2 linked regions of the Elephas maximus indicus genome follow. The protein of the gene in region 1 purifies or fractionates together with the protein of each later gene. This does not show direct contact. Links are inferred from orthologs where the notes say so. Each region holds a gene or a part of one and is shown in the gene's direction. Other genes may lie near its edges.

Region 1 (7,123 bases):
TAACCCTATGGGTTGCTTGAGTGAGCTAGCTTGATTATTTTCACCTTTTGAGCTCTGACATCTGGTCCCCAGATGGCTAGAGCTGTTATCAGGTATATCAGTCTAGGAGTCCATTCAGTTTTGTTGTATGAATTCAGCTCAGGTTTCCGGGTAGCTGATCATCAAGTATGTGTTACAGGCTCTGTACTACAGACTTAGAGGGGCAGGGGTGATTGGCATATATATCGGTATCTGATTGCAGCAGGGGGTCACGCTCTGAACAAGGTAGGTGGCTGAGAACCGACTCCCGAGTGTCTCTGAGGAAAGCATGTCCCTGTTCCCTAGAGTGTGCAGGTGGGTGGGTTCTGCAGACGGACCATGGGCACCCAAAGTTTTTGATTGTAAGGTCTGGGAGGTACCAGTTATCTTTGGACCCCTGTCGCGGGTGGCTGGGTGACCTGAGTGACCTGAGTGGAGCTACCAGTCCTTAGGTCCCTGATATGGGTAGGTGGGGACCTTGTTTAATAGGCAAAGCAATGTCAAACATCAAACACCCACCTCTTAAACGCACAGCTGAAATGGTCAGAGTCTGCCAACAAGGGCCTATTCTCCCGAAATAGTCCCACACACGTCCATGCAGAAGGGAAAGGTGCTCAAAGTCCACGGATGGTTTATGCCTGGAGAGGAGCTGCTTCTGTCCTGAGGTCCCCGGGTTAGTGGAACTAGCAAATTATCTTTTCTCCCAAATGCAAATTTTTTCCTTCCCCAAGGCTGGGAGGATGGCTCTAGGTGCTGAACAGTGCCTATCTCAGGCCCAGGGAGTTCAGCCTCTGAAGCTGGCTTGGGGGTGGGGGGGCATGGTAAAATATACCCAAGTACTTAGCTTTTGCCAAGAGCACTGTTCTCCTCAGGTTCCGGAGGTGTGAGTGGGCTGTAAGGCTGGCTGCTTCTTCCTGAGGAAACGGTGGCCAAATGCTACTACCAGCCCGCCGCCGCTGCCGCTCCAGGAATGGTGCCTGAGGGCTCCCGGCGATTCAGGTTCGATAACCACTCTCCACTTCTGAATGGTCTCTTCCTCCCCCTGCCCCTCAGTTCGTTTTCTAAGCTTGCCTTTAAAGCTCAGGGCTCCCAGCTTGTCACAAACATACTGGTTTCACTTGTTTTTTCAGGTCTTTGTTGTAAAGAGGGCTCCCCAGAAGTGTCTGTCTATTCCGCCATTTTGGCTCTGCCTCTCGAGTTTTTTTTTGACTCATAGAGACCCCACCGGGCAGAGGAGAACTGACCCACAGAGTTTCCAAGAGGCAGCTGGTGAATTCAAACTGCTGACCTTTTGGTCAGCAGCTGAGCTCTTAACCACTGCGCCCCCAGAGCTCTGAAACTATTGACAGATACTGCCAAATTGCCCTTAAAAAGGCGTATGTCAACCTTTGACAAAAGTGTGTAAGTGAAAAAAATTTGTATGAGTATGCTCGTATATCCTTGTGAACACTGAGTTTGTCAAACCTTGTTTTGTTTTGTTTTTTATTGTTGAGCTAATCTTGTACTTTATGGTTTACTTTGATATTTGGTTTCAATTTACTTTTCCATAATTACTACTGAAATTTAGTTTTTTCATCTGTTTACAAGGCACTTGTATTTTTTCTGTTTATTGTCTGTTCATCTCTTGTGCTTTTCTTTTGTTTTTATTGCTTTGTAAGAGCTTTTTGTATTTTGTCTATTTTATCAAACATTTCTTCCCAGACCGTAATCTGTCTTTTAACTCTAACTTTTGCCATAAAAGAGTTTTGTCAGCTTTGTATCATGTTTTGAGGATTTTAAACGCTGACTGCTAAAGAAACAGACAGGGAATACAAAGCCTAAGAAAGTCTTACCATTTTGGGTCCAGTATCCTTTGCTGCCTCACAAATGTGCTTCAAATTCCAGCTTTTGCACTGTCTAGCTGTCTGATTGTGGGCAAATCTCTCAACCTTGCTGGGCTTCAGTTTTCGTTTGTAAAGATGGAATAATAAAACCTGCCTTATAGGAACTTGGGGGGAAGTGTACTTCTAGTCTGAGGACGTCCCCTCCCCTTTCCCTGCAGTAGATTTGTAAGCCAAATCAGAGCAACTTTTTTTTTTTAATTGTATTTATAACGACCTTCTAACTAAACGAGAGGTGACTGCGTGGTGGAGGTGGAAATTAAGATTTATTGAGTACTTACGTGCCAAGTAAGGTGCAATAGCCAAAAACCGAATCAATTACATAGCCGTGGAGTCAATTCCAACTCATAGCTACCCTGTAAAACAGAATAGAACTGTCCCCACAGGATTTCCAAGGCTGTAAATATTTACGGACGCAGACTGCCCGATCTTTCTACTGCGGAGCAGCTGGTGGGTTCCAACCGCTGACCCTTCGGTTAGCAGCCGAGCGCTTAACCACTGCGCAACAAGGCTCATTGGACCGTGTCAACTCCAAACTCGCGCAAACTTTCGGGAATGTGCTCTGTCCCAACTTCACGGGGAGTAACTAAGCTCAAGGAACCCAGTTCCCACGTCTCTAAGCCTAAGCGCCTCACACCGCGCCGCCTCAGCACGCCTCTGCCCGGAAGCCCTCCGGGCCCATCTACTCCCGGGACCCGCCTCCCGCCTGCCGCCGAAGCCGGTTAGATGCGATGTTAGCACCGTGGGTCGAGAGCGCCGCGGAACGAAAGAGCCCAGCCGGTATCCCCAGCTCTCTAAATTAAAAACCAGCCTCTCTCCTGCCCGCTTTCTCGCGGTGCGTTTCGGGAGTTGTAGTCAGACGCGCTTCGGCCTGCTTCGGGATGGACAAGAACAAGACTCCAATTCCCAGTATGTCCCGCGGCTGGGGAGTGCAGCGCCTATTCTCCTCCCCACTTTTCCACGCCTTCCTTTCTCTTCTAAATCCTCCGCTCTGAGTTCCTGCCTGTGAAGTCCTTCGTCCCTCTTGCCAGTCTTTTTCTCGCATTTTTTTCACCATTCTTTCTCTTATTCCTGGGAGCCAATGCGAGACACCAGTTCCCATTAAGCGACTGCTCGAGACTCGGGGTGCGCGAGGGGTATCGATCCAGAGTGGTGAGGGGCACCCAGGAGGGCGGGGGTGGCGGAGAAATGAGAGAGAAATTGAGAGGAGAGGAGTGGGAGGAAAGTAGGGGAGAAGTTAGGAGCTAGGACTATGTGGGATCACGGTGAATGGGGGGAAACGGTGGCAGGGAGACGTAATTTATTGCCGTTTCCTAGCACAAGTGGGGCTAAGAAATTGCAGATGGGAAGAACTGACAGATTTGGAGCTCATAGTCTGATCTGACCAGGGAGGATGGAAGGGAGGGAGGGGACTGGGTTCAAACTGGCTTCTTAGCCACTGCTCAGCTAAAAGTGAGACAAGCCATTGAAATACAAAATGATTTTTGCAAACATGGGACAATTAACAGAAGTAGGGTGTGAGGAGGCAGGCAAGTAGGGGAGCTTGGTCAGATTTGGGAGAAACAGGAGGAGATAAGTGAGATGGAAAAGGAAACCACAGAAAAGATGGGTTATCGTGGAGGAGGCTGAATCTGATCTCGAATCAGAATGAGAAAGGTGAGGGGTGGTACTGGCATGGTTGGTGGGAGTGCTCTTCTAACAATGCATCCTTCAGGTGATGGAGAGCACCCCTTCAAGGGGCGGACTGAACCGAGTACACCTACAATGCCGGAACCTGCAGGAATTCTTAGGGGGCTTGAGCCCTGGGGTATTGGACCGATTGTATGGGCATCCTGCCACCTGTCTGGCTGTCTTCAGGTGAGGACCCCCTTGAAGGCAGGGACCATGTGGTGGGGGGAAAATGCAATGAAGGCCTCCAGACTTGAATAAGTTATCATGGGTAGAGGCTTAGCAGCCCTGGAGAACTTGGAGATTACTCATAAGGGTGGTAGGCCAAAATAGATGGAGTTTGTGGGGCAGCAGGACTGGTAAAGGTGTGAGGGCTAAGATGGGACATTTGAGAGGCCCTTGATGGCATAGTGCTTAAAAGCTACAGCTGCTAACCAAAAAGTCGGCAGTTCGAATCCACTAGGTGCTCCTTGGAAACCCTGTGGGGCAGTTCTATTCTGTCCTGTTGGGTTGCTGTGAGTTAGAATTTATTTGACAGCAATGGGTTTTTTTTTTTTTTTTTGGTTTTGATGGCATAGGTGCAGCTATAAGGCAGCTTCTGACATTAACATTTGACATCTACTCCTCTGTAGGGAGCTCCCATCTTTGGCTAAGAACTGGGTGATGCGGATGCTTTTTCTGGAACAGCCTTTACCACAAGCTGCTGTAGCCCTGTGGGTGAAGAAGGAATTCAGCAAGTGAGTCTCTACTGCTTTCTCACCAGATACAAATTTCCCAGCAGGTGTATTTCCCAAACTGCTGTTCCTTCGAACACTCCCGGGAAGTATTAATGGTATTAATGGGTATGCCACAAAGCTTGTAATTAAGTTTGGGAACTCTGCATGCTATATTTCCCTCTCGGAGAGCCACGATATGTACTGAGATGCTCTGATAAGCGTTAGAGTAAAGAAATTTAAGACACTGATTTCACTCTGGAACAGTGTTCTAAGGATCTCTGGTTCAGAAAAGGCAGAAATCAAAGCTTTTATGGGCCTACTTCTTTTTGTTCTCCAGACACCCAAGTCACCTCTTTGCTTCTGTTTCAGGGCTCAGGAGGAAAGTACAGGGCTGCTGAGCGGCCTCCGTATCTGGCACACCCAGCTGCTCCCTGGAGGTCTCCAGGGCCTCATCCTCAACCCCATCTTCCGTCAGAACCTCCGCATTGCCCTTCTGGGTGGGTATGTCACCTCCATCTCTTCCTCACCTAGGACAGGGGAAATGATAAACTTCTTGGGGGCTAACTCCCAAGGGGCCTCCCTGTAACCTTGTGGGTGCACCTTTGGGAGCCCCTTTATAAATAAATCAGTTGGACCAGATGTAGCTGGGTGGGGTAGGAAATGTCCCCCACTCATGTTCCATGGGGATAAGGGGGGAAAGGGGGCGGGGGTAGGTGGGGAGCACAGGGCAGGTTCCTTACTCTTGGCCCATTTTGGCCATAGAGGAAAGGCCTGGTCTGATGACACAAGTCAGCTAGGACCAGACAAGCATGCCCGGGACGTTCCCTCCCTGGACAAGTATGCTGAGGAGCGATGGGAGGTGAGGACTTGGGACTGTGTGTGTCTCTGTTCATGCTGCTACTTACCTGTGGCCCTTAGAGGCATCACTCTCTCTGTTCTTTTCCATTTCTTAGGTAGTCCTGCACTTCATGGTGGGCTCCCCCAGTGCAGCTGTCAGCCAGGACTTGGCACAGCTCCTCAGCCAGGCTGGGCTCATGAAGAGGTACAACAGCTCCTGCTTTGCTGTCTCCTTGGGTCCCTGCTAAACTGGGTGTCTCGGGAGGATCAGGATTGGAGGGGTTGGCTGAAAAAAGGAGAGCTGGGTGGAGTAAGGCCAAAGATACCAAAAACAAACCAAAAAAAGTGAGAGGGCAAGTGGGGATGGTGGCCCTTCTCTGTGTATCTCCACCATCGTCCCTGTCTGTGTCCCTAGTGCTGAACCTGGAGAGCCACCCTGCATTACTTCCGCTGGCTTCCAGTTTCTGCTGCTGGATACCCCTGCCCAGCTCTGGTACTTTATGCTGCAGTATCTGCAGACAGCCCAGGTGAGGCCAGGGGCTGCTTGCCAGCCTGCTCTGCTCTTCCCAAGACAACTCCCAATGAGAGACCCCCACCTATAGGCTCTGTTTCCTGATTTTCTCTTTTCTCCTTCTCCTCCCTTTTCTCCCTCCTATCCTTCCTCTTTTTCTCTGCCCCTTCCTCCCTAGAGCCGGGGCATGGACCTAGTGGAGATTCTCTCCTTCCTCTTCCAGCTTAGCTTCTCTACTCTCGGCAAGGTAAGCAGGGGGCTGGAGCTGGGGGCTTGGGTGGGTGGACTGAGGGGGTAGGTTGATGGGAAGGGGAATTCAGGTTATGGAGCAGTAGAGTAAGGAGGTAAGATTGGACAAAGAATGACCAGAGATGGGAAAGGAGGCATGAGCATATGGGATTGGGGGAGAGAGGAGGGGATGTGTTTTGGACCCCAGGTGGCCACCTCTCTTCTCTAGGATTACTCTGTGGAAGGTATGAGTGATTCTCTGTTGAACTTCCTGCAACATCTTCGTGAGTTTGGACTCGTTTTCCAGAGGAAGGTACAAGCACCCAGATGCATGGATCCTAGGGAAGAGCCAGGGTAGAGGCAGTAGCAGGAAGCAGTTGCCAGGACTGCATGTTTGGTCCCTAGGGGAGAGAAGTTGGGGGCCGAGGTTCTGTGCAGGGGGAGGGACCTGAGTTTTAGGCAGGGAGGTGTCAGGCAGTGACACCTGAGGGCCCTCTGTCCTTCCCTTCTGTCCTTCCAGAGGAAATCTCGGCGTTACTACCCCACACGCCTGGCCATCAATCTCTCATCAGGTGTCTCTGGGGCTGGGGGCACTGCGCATCAGCCTGGCTTCATCATAGTGGAAACTAATTACCGACTATATGCCTACACGGGTGAGGACAGACAGAGGGCTGGGAGGGGAGGGTGGGCGAAGAGGGGGGCAGAGAGCAGGAGGGAGTGCTGGTTTATGTTCAGATCTCCCAGGCACCTGCATGTTTACACAGTTCCCTGACGTTCCTTATCACATTTGTAGGAGGGGCTTGAGAGGGTCCGGGTGTGGGTGTCTTCATCCTCTCTTCTTACCACTGGCCAGAGTCGGAACTGCAGATCGCTCTCATTGCCCTCTTCTCTGAGATGCTTTATCGCTTCCCCAACATGGTGGTGGCGCAGGTGACCCGGGAGAGTGTGCAGCAGGCTATCGCCAGTGGCATCACAGCCCAGCAGGTATCCTCACATGGGAAGATGGGCTGCACTTGGGCCGTGGGGTACAAGGTAGTCACGTTACAGAAGGCTAGTACCAGGCCTGTTACAGTAGGTGGAGTTGGGGGTGTGTTTGTGTTTGAGCACCAGGCACAGGAGAAGTCAGTGCTCTAGGTGTCGGAACAGACAGACCTTTAAAAGGAAAAAACGTGGAAGGAGGGAAAACCCTGGATTTGTGTCTCAGCACCACCACTTCCTAGCTGTGTAAACTGGTCCTGTTTGCTTCACTTCTGTAAGCCTCAGTT
Region 2 (7,123 bases), on another chromosome or scaffold:
ACACTCTCAACAAGGCAGGGGGCTGTGAATTGTCCCCCAAGCATTTCTGAGGAAAGCGCGTCCCTCTTCCCTAGAGTGTACAGGTGGGTGGATTCTGCAGATGGCCCATGAGCACCCAATGTTTTTGTTTGTAAGGATTAGGAGGTACCAGTTATCCTTGGACCCCTGTTGCAGGTGACTGCCTGACCTGAGTGGAGCCACCAGTTCTTAGGCCCCTGATGTGGGTAGGTGAGGATGCTGTTTAATAGGTAAAGTGGTGTCAAACATCAAACACCCACCACCTCACCGCACAACTGTAACAGTTGTAGTCTGCCAACAGGGACCTGTTCTTCTGAAATAGGCCCACAGAGGTCCATGCAGAGGGGAAAGATACTCAAAGTCCACAGACTGTTTATGCCTGGACAGGAGCTGCTTCTGTCCTGAGCGCCCCTGGTTAGTGGAGATGGCAAATTATCTTTTCCCCCAATTGCAATTTTATTCCTTCTTCAAGAGCAGGAGAATGGCTTTTCAGGCCTTTTTCAGGCCCAGGGAAATTAACAGCCAATGAAGTCAGCTTTGGAGGTGGGCGGGGGCACAGTAAAATATTTGCAAGTACTTCGCTTTTGCCGAGAGCACTGTTCTCTGGTTCTGGAGGTGTGAGTAGGCTGTGTGGCTGTCTGCTTCTCCGTGAGGAAACTTTGGCCAAACGCTAGTACCAGCCTGCCGCAGCCACTCCGCGAATGGTGCCTGAGGGCTCCTGGCAACTCAGGTCCGGTAACTCCTCTCCTTTTCTTAACGGTCTCTTCCTTCCCGTGCCACTCAGTATGTTTTCTAACTTTGTGTTTGATGTTCAGGGCTCCTAGCTTGTCATAAATATAATCGTTTCACTTTTTTTTTTTCCCAGGTCTTTGTTGTAAGAGGGCTTGCCGGAAGCGTCTGTCTAATCTGCCATCTTGGCCCCGCCTCCCTGTGTTGAGTACTTTTAATGAAATATCTCATTTAATCTTTGCAAGTATTATCCTTAGTTTAAAGCTGAGAGAAGTAAGGCCCAAGGTCACATAGCTAGTTAGTGATGAAGCCAGCACTTGGTGCCAGAAGCCACATCTACAAGCACTAGTTTTTATTCCCTCTAGCTCCATGGCCAAAGTTTATCTGATAGAATTCCAAACCACCTGTTGCCACCACGCTTCCCTGCTGGTACTTTCCCACCTGCTTTTCTTTGCCTTGATCTCAAGGCTAGGAGGCAGGAAATGCAATTAACTTCACAATGTGGTGGGGGTCTCCTGTTAAAAGACATGATTCAAACTGTCCTGTTGGTAATAAACAGTAATGCCGACTGAGTGTTTGACTTCTTGATATGGTGCTGGTTCAAAATTTCATTTGCACTCTGGCCATATTCATTCTTTCATCAGGATTTTCCTGTTCTGTTAAAGTAGAAAGACCTTAAAAGTTGGCTTTATTCTTGGAGAGCTTCACTGTGAGTCATGTAAACAGTTGGGATTAAACACTGTGATCTCTTTCAATAAGGTAAAAGGAACACAATAAGCCTGTAGGTCGGGCCATGTTGGGTGTTGTCAATTTTAGTAAACTTACATTTTGTTAGCTTCTTTTAATGAATAATAAATATTATGATCAAGGACATGATTTGTTTGTTGGGTGACTTGTCTTTACACTAATATAAAGCTTGCACTGCCATGGCCTGCTTTGGGCTGCTGGTTCTCTCATATGATATTCAGCTGTTGTCAGGTTTTCCCTCCATAACTCATGTAAATCCCAACTGTATTTCCATGTTACAGGTTGCCAAGTGGGTTCACTGTTTAAAAGTATGAAGGTTGAGTTTTTTTTTTAATTGAAAAGAACGAAAGTAACATGAAAAGTTAAAATTACTATGAATGTATACAGCTTCCAATCATTGTGTGGGTTGATTTGAAAATCTTTTCTGCATGCCCACTTGTCTGGATGGAATTTAGGTCAGGTGAAGGTGATTGCAAGAGAGATAATGTTTGGCATAAAGATTTTCACTTTGTACTATTATTTGATGATCAGTCATACATTTACTCTACTTATTCAATACATATTCACAAGTCCTTATTGAGATGTGCTATGGAGGTCATTAAGATTCAGTCCCTTACAATGGGAACAGTTTTTTATTTAATAGAGCCATTTATAGACTTTATTTTATAGCCTTGATAAATGCACTGAATGTGGCTTACAATTTCCAAAGAGATTCCAGTTTTAGATCTTGGAATTGCTGAAAGAAAGTTGCATATATTTTTCTAAGTTTTTTCCCCAGTATTTGGGAAAATAAATGTTGTCTTTGGTTGAGTGGGAATAGGGAGGAAATATTAGGCTCACTTGACACTATTGGGCCCGTTTGACAGTCTTCAGGTGAGCAGGTCTCTGCAGAGCAGATGCCAGATATTATTTATATTAATATTCTGCTATTTAGTGAGAATCTGTAGTATTTAGAGTTGGTACAGGGACTGTAATTCTAGATAAATTTTCTAAACTTTGCATATCTGAGAATGCATTGTATTTTCTATGCTTGCATGTCTGGCTGTACAAGTATAAAAGTATAAAGCACAGGCCATCAAACTGTCCAAAAGAAAATACTAGTCTGAATTATCAAATATGTACACCAGAACAAATCTTTGAAATCATGGAAATATTTTTAGATAGAAAATGGAATTTTTCGTCGTAATTGTGACGTAGCACATTGAAAAAATGTGACTAAGTGCATAGAGGTGAGAGGTGTACAATTTGCCTTTTAAAAGTTTTTTTTTTTTCTGATAGCGGTGATGGTTGTACAACATGATGGTCTTAATTGATGTCACTGAATCGTACGTGTAAGAAACGCTAAAAAAGAAAGAAAAAATAGTGCCCAGACACCATTCATGTGAAGGCTCAGCGAGTAAAATCACATTCAGCACCTAAAGAAAAGAAATGTTCTTTTTCTAAGTCTTGAGTGGTTTAGCATCATTACAATGATATAGTATGTGATGTTAAATTACAGATTTGTTCATTTACTGTACAGTTGTATTTTTTTTAGAATACACAGGTATTAGAGTTAATCTCTGTCTTAAAGGAAATGATACCATATAGTTCAAACTCACAGACGAATGGATTAAAAGTCACTTGTTCTTTAAATAAAAGTTTTTTTTTTTTTTTTTTTTTTTTCCCAAACCAAGGTGTTGCGCCGCTAAGACAGAGCCCCAGAGCAGGACCAGAGAACTCGCAGCCGGAACGTTTGTACTGTAGAGCCTCGCCCCGGCCGGTGCTCATTCACGAAGGGACCGTCACTGACAAGTGCCGGTTGGTGAGAACTTGCTTGGCGTCAATACCGAGGGTCTTGGAGGGGGCTGTGGCTGAAGCAGGCTTCGGGGCGAGTTTGTAAGGGTGAAGGAGCTATGGACGATCAGGGCTGCCCCCGGTGTAAGACCACCAAGTACCGGAACCCCTCCTTGAAGCTGATGGTGAATGTGTGCGGACACACTTTGTGAGTACGGCGACAGTGGTTTCCAGTCGGGGCGAGGCGCAGGGTGGGAGGAGAGCCGGGAGATGCTCTGCCTGGGGTCAGGACAGTAAAGGGCGTCGTTAGTTTCGACAAAAGGGAGGAAAACGGCAAGAGGGAGCGTTGCTTTCTGTAAACGGACGGTAGCCGCTAGCGCGGAGCGATCCCGGCCTGCTTTGGGCTAGCGGTGCTCCGATGCGGTGCCCCGCTGTTGGTCAGGGTCCTCCTCCGTGGTGCCTGGGAATCTCGACTTATTTCCGGGCTCTGGGGTGTCCAGTGGGCTCCACACATGTCGCTGCTTAAAAGTGTGGGGGTGAGGGCTTGGAGTGTTTCTTTAGTTTCACATTAAAAAAAAAAAGTTAAAATTTCTACGAGTATATACAGCTGCTATTTATTGTATGGGATAATTTGAAAACCTCATCTGTATGCCCAGTTGTCCTGATACAAAAAAAAAAAAAAAAAAGAGTTCGGTGATAGTCTCATCACTAAAAGGGAGAAAATCCGAACTCCAGGCAGTTAATTTTGGACCTATTGTACGTTCACTAGGTGCCAGCCACTATTTTAAGCTTTTTACCATGAATTATTTTAGTTCATTCCCAGAACAGCCCTAGGAAGTAGGTATTGGTATCATGATAGAACTTATGAAATTACTTGATTGGTTCCTTTTTCTAATTAATCTTTATTTATCTTTGACTTACCCAGCAAAGGAGTACAGTAGAGCTCTGACTGAATGGTTTAACATTAGAAATAAGGTAAACATAATCAAATAGGATGCGTGGAAAAAAGAAGGGAGGCAAGCATTGTAGAGAGACGGTTAGGTTTTTAGATTTTATCCAGTTTATTTCCATTTTCTTGTATTAAGTTTGTTACATTTGGTGCCGAAGGAAAGGGAGATAGATGACCAAGTATGCTCTTTTGGAAGGATGTTTAATTGACTGGAAGAAATTTCTGCCTAGTACTAATCAACCAATTAGGGAAGATTATGGAATTTCAGTAAAATAAATGGCATTTTTATTAGTTATATAATATTTATTTTGGAAATTGCTTTCATTGTATCCTTAGTCTGTTTTGTTATCTCATAAGAATTTTCTAATTCATTCTGGTATTGTATTTATTTTGGTTTATTTGTTAACATGTTAGATGCAGACTACACTTTGCATTCCTTTTTTGACTTGAAGTATAAAAAAAATAAAAGAAAACCTCCTAAATTCAAGAGGGTATATACTACAGTGTCATTCAAGAAGGCAGTGTAGGGTATTGGTTAAGAGAATAAGCTCTGGAATCAGTCTGCTTGATTTCAAATTCTTTACTCTTGTGTGACTTTGGGCAAGATATTATGTCTCAAACAGAGATGGTAATGGTACTTTTATTAGAGTGCTTAAGGATTAAATTGTTGTTATATGCCCTTGAGTTGCTTCTGACACACGGCAACCTTATGTATATAACAGAACAAAATGTTGCCCAGTTCTGTGCCATGTTCATGATTGTTGGCATGTTTGAATCCGTTGTTGTTGCTATTGTGTCCGTCCATTTTATTGAGAGTTTCCCTTGTTTATGTTGACCCTCTACTAACAACATATGTAAAATATTTGGAGGTATTTAGTAGAGTTCTTGTCACATAGTATGTGCTCCATATATATTGGCTATCACATCATGTGGGTAATATGATGGAGCCCAGCTGGCATAGTGGTTAAGAGCTCGGCTGCTAACCAAAAGGTCTGCAGTTTAAATTCACCAGCCACTCCTTGGAAACCCTGTGGGGTAGTTCTACTCTGTCCTATAGGGTCACTATGAGTCAAAACCGACTCAACAGCACCTAACAACAACAACAGTATGAGTGATAAAAACCAAACCCAGTGCTGTCGAGTCGATTCCAACTCATAGTGACCCTATAGGACAGAGTAGAACTACCCCATAGAGTTTCCAAGGAGTGCCTGGAGGATTCGAACTGCCGACCCTTTGGTTAGCAGCTGTAGCACTTAACCACTATGCCACCAGGGTTTCCAGTATGAGTAATAGGCAGAAATAAAATTAAGAGGGTTTATTTGGCTTGCTATTAAATACTAGCACAATAATGATTATTTTAAAATATAACTTTAATTATTATGATCATATTGTAGTTTTCTTTTTTTGATTGTGCTTTAAGTGAAAGTTTACAGTTCAAGTCAGTTCCTCATACAAAAACTTATACAGACGTTGTTATGTGACCCTAGTTGCTTTCCCTATAATGTGACAGCATACTGCTCCTCCTCTCCACCCTGTATTTCCTGTGTCCATTCAGCCAGCTCCTCTCCCCCTCTGCTTTCTTATCTTGCCTATAGACAGGAGCTGCTCACTTAGTCTCATGTGTCTACTTGAGGTAAGAAGTACACTCCTCACCAGTGTCATTGTATGTCTGTAGTCTGAGGAGTTGGCTTTGGGAATGGTTTTAGTTTTGGGCTAACCGAGAGTCCAGGGACCATGTCTTCTGGGGTCCCTCCAGTGTCAATCAGACCATTAAGTCTGGTCTTTTTACTAGAATTTGAGTTTTGCACCCAACCCACTTTCCTCCTGCGCTATCAGGGATTCTCTGTTGTGTTCCCTGTCACTGCAGTCATTGGTGGTAACTGGTCACCATCTAGTTCTTCTGGTCTCAGGCTCATCAAGTCCATTAAGAATTATTATGAATTAAGGAGCCCTGGTGGTACAGTGGTTAAGTGCTTGGCTTCTAACTGAAATGTTTAAGGTTCAAACCCACCAGCCCCTTGGTGGGAGAAAGAGGTGGCAGTCTGCTTCCTTAAAGATTAAAGCCTTGGAAACCCTATGGGGCAGTTCTGCCCAGTCCTATAGGGTCACTATGAGTTGGAATTGACTCTATGGCAACAGGTGTTTTAAGAATTATTTTAAACTAGAATACAGCTCTGCTCTGTATCGGTGAGTATAGGAGAGAGCTCACTAGTTTTTTTTTTTTTTGTAATTAAAAAATTAAAACAATCATATTAACAATTAATTAATAGTTGAAGCAACGTGAGGATATTAAGTGAAAATATCTCTGATTCATTTCCCCAAAGGTAAAAGCTTTTATGTTGCTGCTGTATCTTTCCAGACATCTTCTATGCATATACAAGCATGAATGTGTGTTTAGGTAGGAAACCTTTTCTCCTACCAGCATATATGGCATCTTATTGTAAACTTACTTTTTGCATTAAGTATACCTTGGTTATTTTTCTAAATCAGTATATATGTCTTCTTCATTTTTAACAGTTGACTAGCATCTCAACTGTTTGGTTATACTGTAATTTATGTAACCAATCTTTTTTAAGTAAATGTTTAGGTTTCCAATTTTTCCATGGAGTAAACATTCTTACCTCTTTAAGCACTTAAGTAAGTGTATCGTAAGATACAATCTGTAAACCATAGGGCGAATGTCTAGTATTGGAATTGTTGTGTCAGAGTAGGTGGCTTTTAAATTTTGATGAATATTGCTAAGTTGTTCCTGAAAAAGATTGTATCAGTTATGTTCCCAACAACTGTGTATGGGAATTCCTATTGTGGCATGTCATTGTTGACATTGAACATTTTTATATTTTTTAATCTTGTCATTCTGATAGGTAAGAAAATGTTCATTTTAATCAAGATTTGTTTTGATTTCAT

The links. The genes of interacting proteins can lie anywhere in the genome.
Region 2: the proteins of GTF2H4 (region 1) and MNAT1 purify together in Homo sapiens (co-immunoprecipitation; 3 studies listed by BioGRID and IntAct, with this or other methods). This does not show direct contact. The link is inferred for Elephas maximus indicus from reciprocal best matches to the Homo sapiens genes GTF2H4 and MNAT1.

The regions. Positions count from the first base shown.
Region 1 is NC_064819.1:91,217,315-91,224,437, forward strand, and holds the start of GTF2H4 (general transcription factor IIH subunit 4), read left to right. Parts: upstream 1-2,846; 5' UTR 2,847-3,023; intron 3,024-3,612; 5' UTR 3,613-3,615; coding exon 3,616-3,755; intron 3,756-4,198; coding exon 4,199-4,303; intron 4,304-4,651; coding exon 4,652-4,783; intron 4,784-5,044; coding exon 5,045-5,141; intron 5,142-5,235; coding exon 5,236-5,324; intron 5,325-5,534; coding exon 5,535-5,646; intron 5,647-5,808; coding exon 5,809-5,877; intron 5,878-6,087; coding exon 6,088-6,171; intron 6,172-6,378; coding exon 6,379-6,511; intron 6,512-6,711; coding exon 6,712-6,842; intron 6,843-7,123. UniProt on the Homo sapiens protein: Component of the general transcription and DNA repair factor IIH (TFIIH) core complex, which is involved in general and transcription-coupled nucleotide excision repair (NER) of damaged DNA and, when complexed to CAK, in RNA transcription by RNA polymerase II.
Region 2 is NC_064828.1:73,065,764-73,072,886, forward strand, and holds the start of MNAT1 (CDK-activating kinase assembly factor MAT1), read left to right. Parts: upstream 1-3,181; 5' UTR 3,182-3,386; coding exon 3,387-3,475; intron 3,476-7,123.